Linked DNA regions of Xenopus tropicalis. The protein of the gene in region 1 interacts with the protein of each later gene in a pairwise test. Links are inferred from orthologs where the notes say so. Each region holds a gene or a part of one and is shown in the gene's direction. Other genes may lie near its edges.

Evidence for each region. The genes of interacting proteins can lie anywhere in the genome.
Region 2: the proteins of creb3l1 (region 1) and fxyd3 interact in binary tests that used the Homo sapiens proteins (3 or more experiments, as listed by UniProt). The two-hybrid records come from large-scale screens. The link is inferred for Xenopus tropicalis from reciprocal best matches to the Homo sapiens genes CREB3L1 and FXYD3.

The regions. Positions count from the first base shown.
Region 1 is NC_030680.2:13,410,526-13,414,090, reverse strand, and holds part of creb3l1 (cyclic AMP-responsive element-binding protein 3-like protein 1), read left to right. Parts: coding exon 1-67; intron 68-338; coding exon 339-488; intron 489-1,998; coding exon 1,999-2,057; intron 2,058-3,106; coding exon 3,107-3,175; intron 3,176-3,565.
Region 2 is NC_030683.2:126,673,876-126,678,211, reverse strand, and holds the start of fxyd3 (FXYD domain-containing ion transport regulator 3 precursor), read left to right. Parts: upstream 1-1,533; 5' UTR 1,534-1,574; coding exon 1,575-1,614; intron 1,615-2,320; coding exon 2,321-2,353; intron 2,354-2,509; coding exon 2,510-2,530; intron 2,531-4,336. UniProt on the Homo sapiens protein: Associates with and regulates the activity of the sodium/potassium-transporting ATPase (NKA) which transports Na(+) out of the cell and K(+) into the cell.

The DNA.
Region 1 (3,565 bases):
CCCAGCCCGTCCTGCCCCGCGCTCTTCACATGCTATATCCTCATCACCACTACTTACTGCACCCCATGTGAGTATTCCTTGTCTAAATCTCTATGGTCAGCTCTGTGGGATAGATGGTAGGTGGCACACCAACCCGCTGATGTTTACTCATGGCCTTGGCCCAAAAATCTCTAGTAGCCAATAACCATTAATATTTGATTTGGGTTATGTTACTGGAGATAAGTAACATTACAACAAAAGAAACTTGGTCACACGTTGGACTCTCCCTATGTTAAATATACTGGTACAATGATGTGTCGTAGAGAAGCTGTAATGTCTGTTTTTATTTGGGTGCGTAGAAACTACAAGGCACATCTGGCCCGTTGATGCTGACCGAGGAGGAGAGACGGACTCTAATCGCTGAGGGCTACCCCATTCCCACTAAACTCCCCCTTACAAAGACCGAAGAGAAGGCTCTGAAGAGAGTGCGAAGAAAGATCAAGAATAAGGTGAATGGCGGCTTCTATACCCTTCCAGTGTCATCTTGTGGGACCTATCCTTAATCCTTGAAACTAGGCAGCCACCTAATCCATCATTTGCCCGAAGAGTGACTCCACCACAAATCTTTAATAATTTTAGTAAAGTGTCCTCTGCTCCTGGTATTATTTTAGAGGTTTATTGGGGGCAGACTGACATTAAGGGTTTTCAATGCAGCACCCAAGAGAATGTTGGGCATACGTAACTTGGTGGTCTGAAGAGTGCCTTGGCAGACGGCTATTTTTGTGTTTGGGGGAAGCTATTTAAAGATATTTTCTACACAGATATCTTCATAGTTTCCCATGGCCAATTCCGTGTATAATACCCCAGAACACACAGCAGAATAAATACAGCGCCAATTCCATGTATAATACCCCAGAACCCACAGCAGGATAAATACAGTGCCAATTCCGTGTATAATACCCCAGAACACACAGCAGAATAAATACAGCGCCAATTCCATGTATAATACCCCAGAACCCACAGCAGGATAAATACAGTGCCAATTCCATGTATAATACCCCAGAACACACAGCAGAATAAATACAGCGCCAGTTCCATGTATAATACCCCAGAACCCACAGCAGGATAAATACAGGGCCAATTCTATGAATAATACCCCAGAACACAAGGCAGGATAAATACAGTGCCAATTCCATGTATAATACCCCAGAACACATGGCGGGATAAATACAGTGCCAATTCCATGTATAATACCCCAGAACACACAGCAGGATAAATACAGTGCCAATTCCATGTATAATACCCCAGAACACACAGCAGGATAAATACAGTGCCAATTCCATGTATAATACCACAGAACACACGGCAGGATAAATACAGTGCCAATTCCATGTATAATACCCCAGAACACACGGCAGGATAAATACAGCGCCAATTCCATGTATAATACCCCAGAACACACAGCAGGATAAATACAGTGCCAATTCCATGTATTATACCCCAGAACCCACAGCAGGATAAATACAGTGCCAATTCCATGTATTATACCCCAGAACCCACGGCAGGATAAATACAGTGCCAATTCCATGTATAATACCCCAGAACCCACGGCAGGATAAATACAGTGCCAATTCCATGTATAATACCCCAGAACACACGGCAGGATAAATACAGTGCCAATTCCATGTATAATACCCCAGAACACACAGCAGGATAAATACAGTGCCAATTCCATGTATTATACCCCAGAACCCACAGCAGGATAAATACAGTGCCAATTCCATGTATTATACCCCAGAACCCACGGCAGGATAAATACAGTGCCAATTCCATGTATAATACCCCAGAACACACAGCAGGATAAATACAGTGCCAATTCCATGTATAATACCCCAGAACACATGGAAGATTAAAGAGAGCCCATGGGCAGACTGCTTGAATGATGAATGGGATTTGAAGAGGCTACAGTTTGATCATAGATATGTGCACTCATGCAAATCTCTAAATCTTCCCATCCAGATCTCAGCCCAAGAGAGCCGAAGGAAAAAAAAGGAATATGTGGAGTGTCTGGAGAAAAAGTGAGTTGTCAAGGTTGAGAAGATCCTTTATACTTTAGCTGTGTGCCATACTTGTCAGGACTTGGAAGGGCGGGGGGCTTGGAATCAGGATACGGCTGGGGAGTCACTTAGTGAGAAGTTTTATGATGAAGAAACTAAATGACTGCTATTATTTTGGGAAGACAGTGGAGCAGTAAATGAAGGAAACGGGAATTTTGTGATCCTGCACACAACTATTCCGCTTATAGAAGGGAACAATGAAATGAACAATGAAATTAGCCTTAGTCATAGGATAGTGCTTGGAATGGTCATTTCAGAAGTGACACCGGACATCACTTGGATAAAGAGGTCAGGTAGATGTTTGGAGAAGAGCTGAGGATCAGTATGAAGCAGGATGGAAAAAGAAGGAAAATATCTTGCAGAAAGAAGAGTTTTGGTTGTGTATGAAGGGACCTGGGAATGATAAAAGAGATAGGAGGAGGGGAAGGAGTTAAGAAGCTACCTGCATGGTCTACTTGTACAGGGTGGCTTTGGGCTCAGGGTGGCTCTGGGATAAGGGTGATTTTGGGCTCAGGGTGGCTCTGGGATAAGGGTGGTTTTGGCCTCAGGGTGGCTCTGGAATAAGGGTGGCTCTGGGATAAGGGTGACTTTGGGCTCAGGGTGGCTCTGGGATAAGGGTGGCTTTGGGCTCAGGGTGGCTTTGGGATAAGGGTGGTTTTGGGCTCAGGGTGGCTCTGGGATAAGGGTGGCTCTGGGATAAGGGTGGCTCTGGTATAAGGGTGGCTCTGGGCTCAGGGTGGCTCTGGGATAAGGGTGACCCTGGGATCAGGGTGGCTTTGAGCTCAGGGTGGCTCTGGGATAAGGGTGGCTTTGGGCTCAGGGTGGCTCTGGGATAAGGGTGGCTTTGGGCTCAGGGTGGCTCTGGGATAAGGGTGGCTTTGGGCTCAGGGTGGCTCTGGGATAAGGGTGGCTTTGGGCTCAGGGTGGCTCTGGGATAAGGGTGGCTTTGGGCTCAGGGTGGCTCTGGAATGGTGGAGTTCTAAGGACAATTGTTGTGCTTGTCCTTCTAGAGTGGAAACCTTCACATCACAGAACAACGACCTGTGGAAGAAAGTAGAAACCTTGGAGAACGCCAACAGGTGAGGGGTGTGGGAAAGCACTAAGATGGGTAATCCAATTTCAAGCTGTTTGACTCCAAAACTGATCAGTTTTTTTCCCCATAAATATTTTGCTGGTCATCTGATGCCCTTTCTCATTCCCTAATGGAGTTCACTGGCACTCTGTCCCTAACATAGGTATAATTGGGTAATATAAGTGGAATTAATGGAATAGCGGTATTCTAGCACCACCTGCTGTCAACAATGTAAACTGCAAAATATCTATATCATCTATCTATCTATCATCTCTATCTATCTATCTAATTATTAATCTATCTGTCATCTATCTATCTGTCTAGTTACCGAGCATGCTAGGAGTTAAGGTGTTTTGTTATTCTGCTGAAAGAGCTCACATAGCTCCTGCTATTCCCA
Region 2 (4,336 bases), on another chromosome or scaffold:
TCCCTGTCTATAAAACTGATTTTCATGCGTTACTCTCTCCAGCTAAAGGGAAACTACACCCCCAGGATGAATACGTAACCAACAGACCGTTTATATTATGTTAAGTGGCCTATTAAAGAATCTCCCCAAACTGGAAAATATATATCAGTAAATATTGCCCTTTCACATCCTTTCCCTTGAGCCGCCATTTAGTGATGGGCTGTGTGCTCCCTCAGAGATCAGCTGACAGGAAGTGATGCAGCTCTAACTGTAACAGGAAGTAGTGTGGGAGTAACAGGCAGAACTCTGCCCATTCATTGGCTGATGGGGCCTAGCATGTATGTGTGCCTTGGCTTGTTTGTGTGCACTGTGACTCCTATGATCCCAGACCAATTGCAAATTGTCTTTTAATTATATGTGTTAGTTGGGATCAAGTACAGGTACTGTTTTATTATTACAGAGAAAAGGGAATCATTTAACCATTAAATAAACCCAATAGGGCTGTTCTGCCCCAATAAGGGGTAATTATATCTTAGTTGGGATCAAGTACAGGTACTGTTTTATTATTACAGAGAAAAGGGAATCATTTAACCATGAAATAAACCCAATAGGGCTGTTCTGCCCCAATAAGGGGTAATTATATCTTAGTTGGGATCAAGTACAGGTACTGTTTTATTATTACAGAGAAAAAGTAAATTATTTATAAAAATGTATATTTTGCCTTTCCATAAATTGGAACTTTCTGGATAATGGGTTTCCGGATAAGGGGTCTGATACCTGAATATTCTTATAGATAATATACTTATATAGTGTCTTATTTCCTAATGACATTTACTCATTAGCACAATTCAGGCTATGTAAATGAGGATGGAAGGGAAGGAGCATACACACTACTAACACTGCTCTGGGTTGTTCCTGTTAAGGTGGCCATAATTTGTAAAAAATATAATTGTATTATATATCCGCAAAATGAGCGGATCTTTCTCCAATATGACCTCTTAAGGTGGGCAATATTGGGCTAATTCTAACGTTTTGGCCCTAGGGATCAGATTATTTGGTCTAAAGGACTCGAATCTGCAGCTTTAACTGCTGCCTTTCTCTGCAAGGAAATAGTGGCGGTGGGGTTTGGCGAGTCCATCCTCCACTGGTGTAATCCAATAGTTGGTCAGACCAAGAGATCAGAAACCTCAGTTGCCCTTTCCCATCTCCTTCTAGAGCAACATCAGAACCCTTCTCTGTTTTCCTTCTGAAGGGATATCTCTGTCTGTACAGTTACAGGAACTGACCAGCAGGTGGCGCTGTTACAAAATTCATTATATTGGCAGTTAATAAAAACTTTAATAGCTCTGAAACTAAACTTATCCTTTGGCTTTTGCCTTTGATGAAGTTATTGTTGTATAGTTGGCATATACCTTTATTTAATGCTCCTGTCTGTTCTATGAACCCCTTCTACCCCGAGTCTGCCGGCCAATCACTGAGTGTGACATCTGGTGTGCGACCGTATAAAATAAATAGCAAATTCAATCTACTTAAGGTGCGGCTGTTTACTCTGTGCTTTGCTTTCTCCCCAGGCTGCGAGGAACTGCTGCTAGAAGATGCAGGAAGCAACAGTAGCCTTCTTTTTGATGCTGACAGGTATGTACAAATCCTATATAACTTGGGTAGAATATGTCTGTCCCAATATGGAGGAAGAAGCCATTTTCCCGTTGGAGGATTGAGGGTTAGATCCGTGCAGTTATTTATTTAAAGGCTTTCAAAGTCCCTCCTTGCCTTCGGGCTGCCTTCAGCCAGCTACCTGTACTACAGTGCATGCTGGGAGTGTACAGTCAAACACAGCAAGCCTAAGGGGGGTTTAGGGCCCCCATAATTGGCAGCTTTAATCTAGGTTTGAGCAGAGAGTGGGTCTTAATGGGGTTGTTCACCTTTGTGTTCACCTTTTGTTCAGCAGCTCTCTAGTTTGGAGTTTCAGCGGCTATCTGGTCACTAGGGTCCATATTACCTTAGCAACCAGGAAGTGGTTTAAATGAAAGACTGGAATATGAATAAGATAGGGGCTGAATAGAAAAAGAAGTTCTAAGATGTAACAATAACAATAAAACTGGAGCAATAGGTTTTTTTTTTGGCTGCTGGGGTCAGTGACCCCCATTTTAAAAACGGCAAAGAGTTGGAAGAAGGCAAATAATTTAAAAACTATAACAAATAAATAATGAAGACCAATAAAAACATTGCTTAGAATTGGCCATTCTGTAACATACTAAAAGTAAATGATTGTATGCTCTAGTTATTGGACTGTTCCACCCCCTGAATAATATAATTATTATATCTCTTATTTCCCCCTCAGCTCTCCCTGGTCTCCATGCTAAGAGTCCCGAACGTAAGTAACTGAAATGTGGCCCCTAGGCTCTGTGTCTGCGGGCTTCATCCAGATCCTGAGACTGTCCATATGTACTCGGGGATAACTTTCATACACAGAGAAGTTTGCTTGAAGCAAATGATTTTAACTTGTCCTTTGTTTTCTTTTCATTTACAGACAACTCGCAGTTCGTCTACGGTAAGTTCCCAATGGAGTCGGCCACACATTGTGCTATTTATGTTCTGTGTGTCTTGCACCATTAAAGAACAAGCATGGAACATTTCAAGCAAATAAAAGAATACTGTTCTGTGTATATTTTGCTAATTATCTGCTCTGCAGCTTTGCTTTGTTGCCCAAACTAATGTGTGCAGAGGCGCCATCATATTCCCTGCTCCCAGTTATCCCCTGGGTGGCTTTGGGTGGGCGTGGTAGAGAGATTGGGTGGTGTGCAGTACAGGTATGGGACCTGTTATTCAGAATGCTCAGGCCTAGGGTATTCTAGGGGTCTTTCTGTTATTTGGATCTCCATGCCTTAACATTTAAACATGAAATAAACCCAATAGGGCTGTTCTGCCCCAATAAAGGGTAATTATATCTTAGTTGGGATCAAGTACAGGTACTGTTTTATTATTACAGAGAAAAGGGAATCATTTAACCATGAAATAAACCCAATAGGGCTGTTCTGCCCCAATAAGGGGTAATTATATCTTAGTTGGGATCAAGTACAGGTACTGTATTATTATTACAGAGAAAAGGGAATCATTTTTAAAAATCTGAATTATTTGTTTAAAATGGAGTCCATTGGAGATGGCCTTTCCATAATTTGGAACTTTCTGGTTTCCATATAATGAATCCCATACCTGTACAGAGAATGGGTGGCTGGCTGGGTGCAGTACTAGTACAGAGAATGGGTGGCTGGCTGGGTGCAGTACTAGTACAGAGAATGGGTGGGTGGGTGGCTGGGTGCAGTACTAGTACAGATAATGGGTGGCTGGCTGGGTGCAGTACTAGTACAGATAATGGGTGGCTGGCTGGGTGCAGTACTAGTACAGAGAATGGGTGGCTGGCTGGGTGCAGTACTAGTACAGAGAATGGGTGGCTGGCTGGGTGAAGTACTACAGAGAATGGGTGGCTGGCTGGGTGAAGTACTACAGAGAATGGGTGGCTGGCTGGGTGCAGTACTGGAGAGAATGGGTGGCTGGCTGGGTGAAGTACTACAGAGAATGGGTGGCTGGCTGGGTGCAGTACTAGTACAGAGAATGGGTGGCTGGCTGGGTGAAGTACTACAGAGAATGGGTGGCTGGCTGGGTGCAGTACTAGTACAGAGAATGGGTGGCTGGCTGGGTGCAGTACTAGTACAGAGAATGGGTGGCTGGCTGGGTGCAGTACTAGTACAGAGAATGGGTGGCTGGCTGGGTGAAGTACTACAGAGAATGGGTGGCTGGCTGGGTGAAGTACTACAGAGAATGGGTGGCTGGCTGGGTGCAGTACTGGAGAGAATGGGTGGCTGGCTGGGTGCAGTACTAGTACAGAGAATGGGTGGCTGGCTGGGTGAAGTACTACAGAGAATGGCTGGCTGGCTGGCTGGGTGCAGTACTGGAGAGAATGGGTGGCTGGCTGGGTGCAGTACTAGTACAGAGAATGGCTGGCTGGGTGAAGTACTACAGAGAATGGGTGGCTGGCTGGGTGCAGTACTAGTACAGAGAATGGGTGGCTGGCTGGGTGAAGTACTACAGAGAATGGCTGGCTGGGTGCAGTACTGGAGAGAATGGGTGGCTGGCTGGGTGAAGTACTACAGAGAATGGGTGGCTGGCTGGGTGCAGTACTAGTACAGAGAATGGGTGGCTGGCTGGGTGCAGTTCTAGTACAGAGAATGGGTGGCTGGCTGGGTGAAGTACTACAGAGAATGGGTGGCTGGCTGGGTGCAGTACTAGTACAGAGAATGGGTGGCTGGCTGGGTGCAGTACTAGTACAGAGAATGGGTGGCTGGCTGGGTGCAGTACT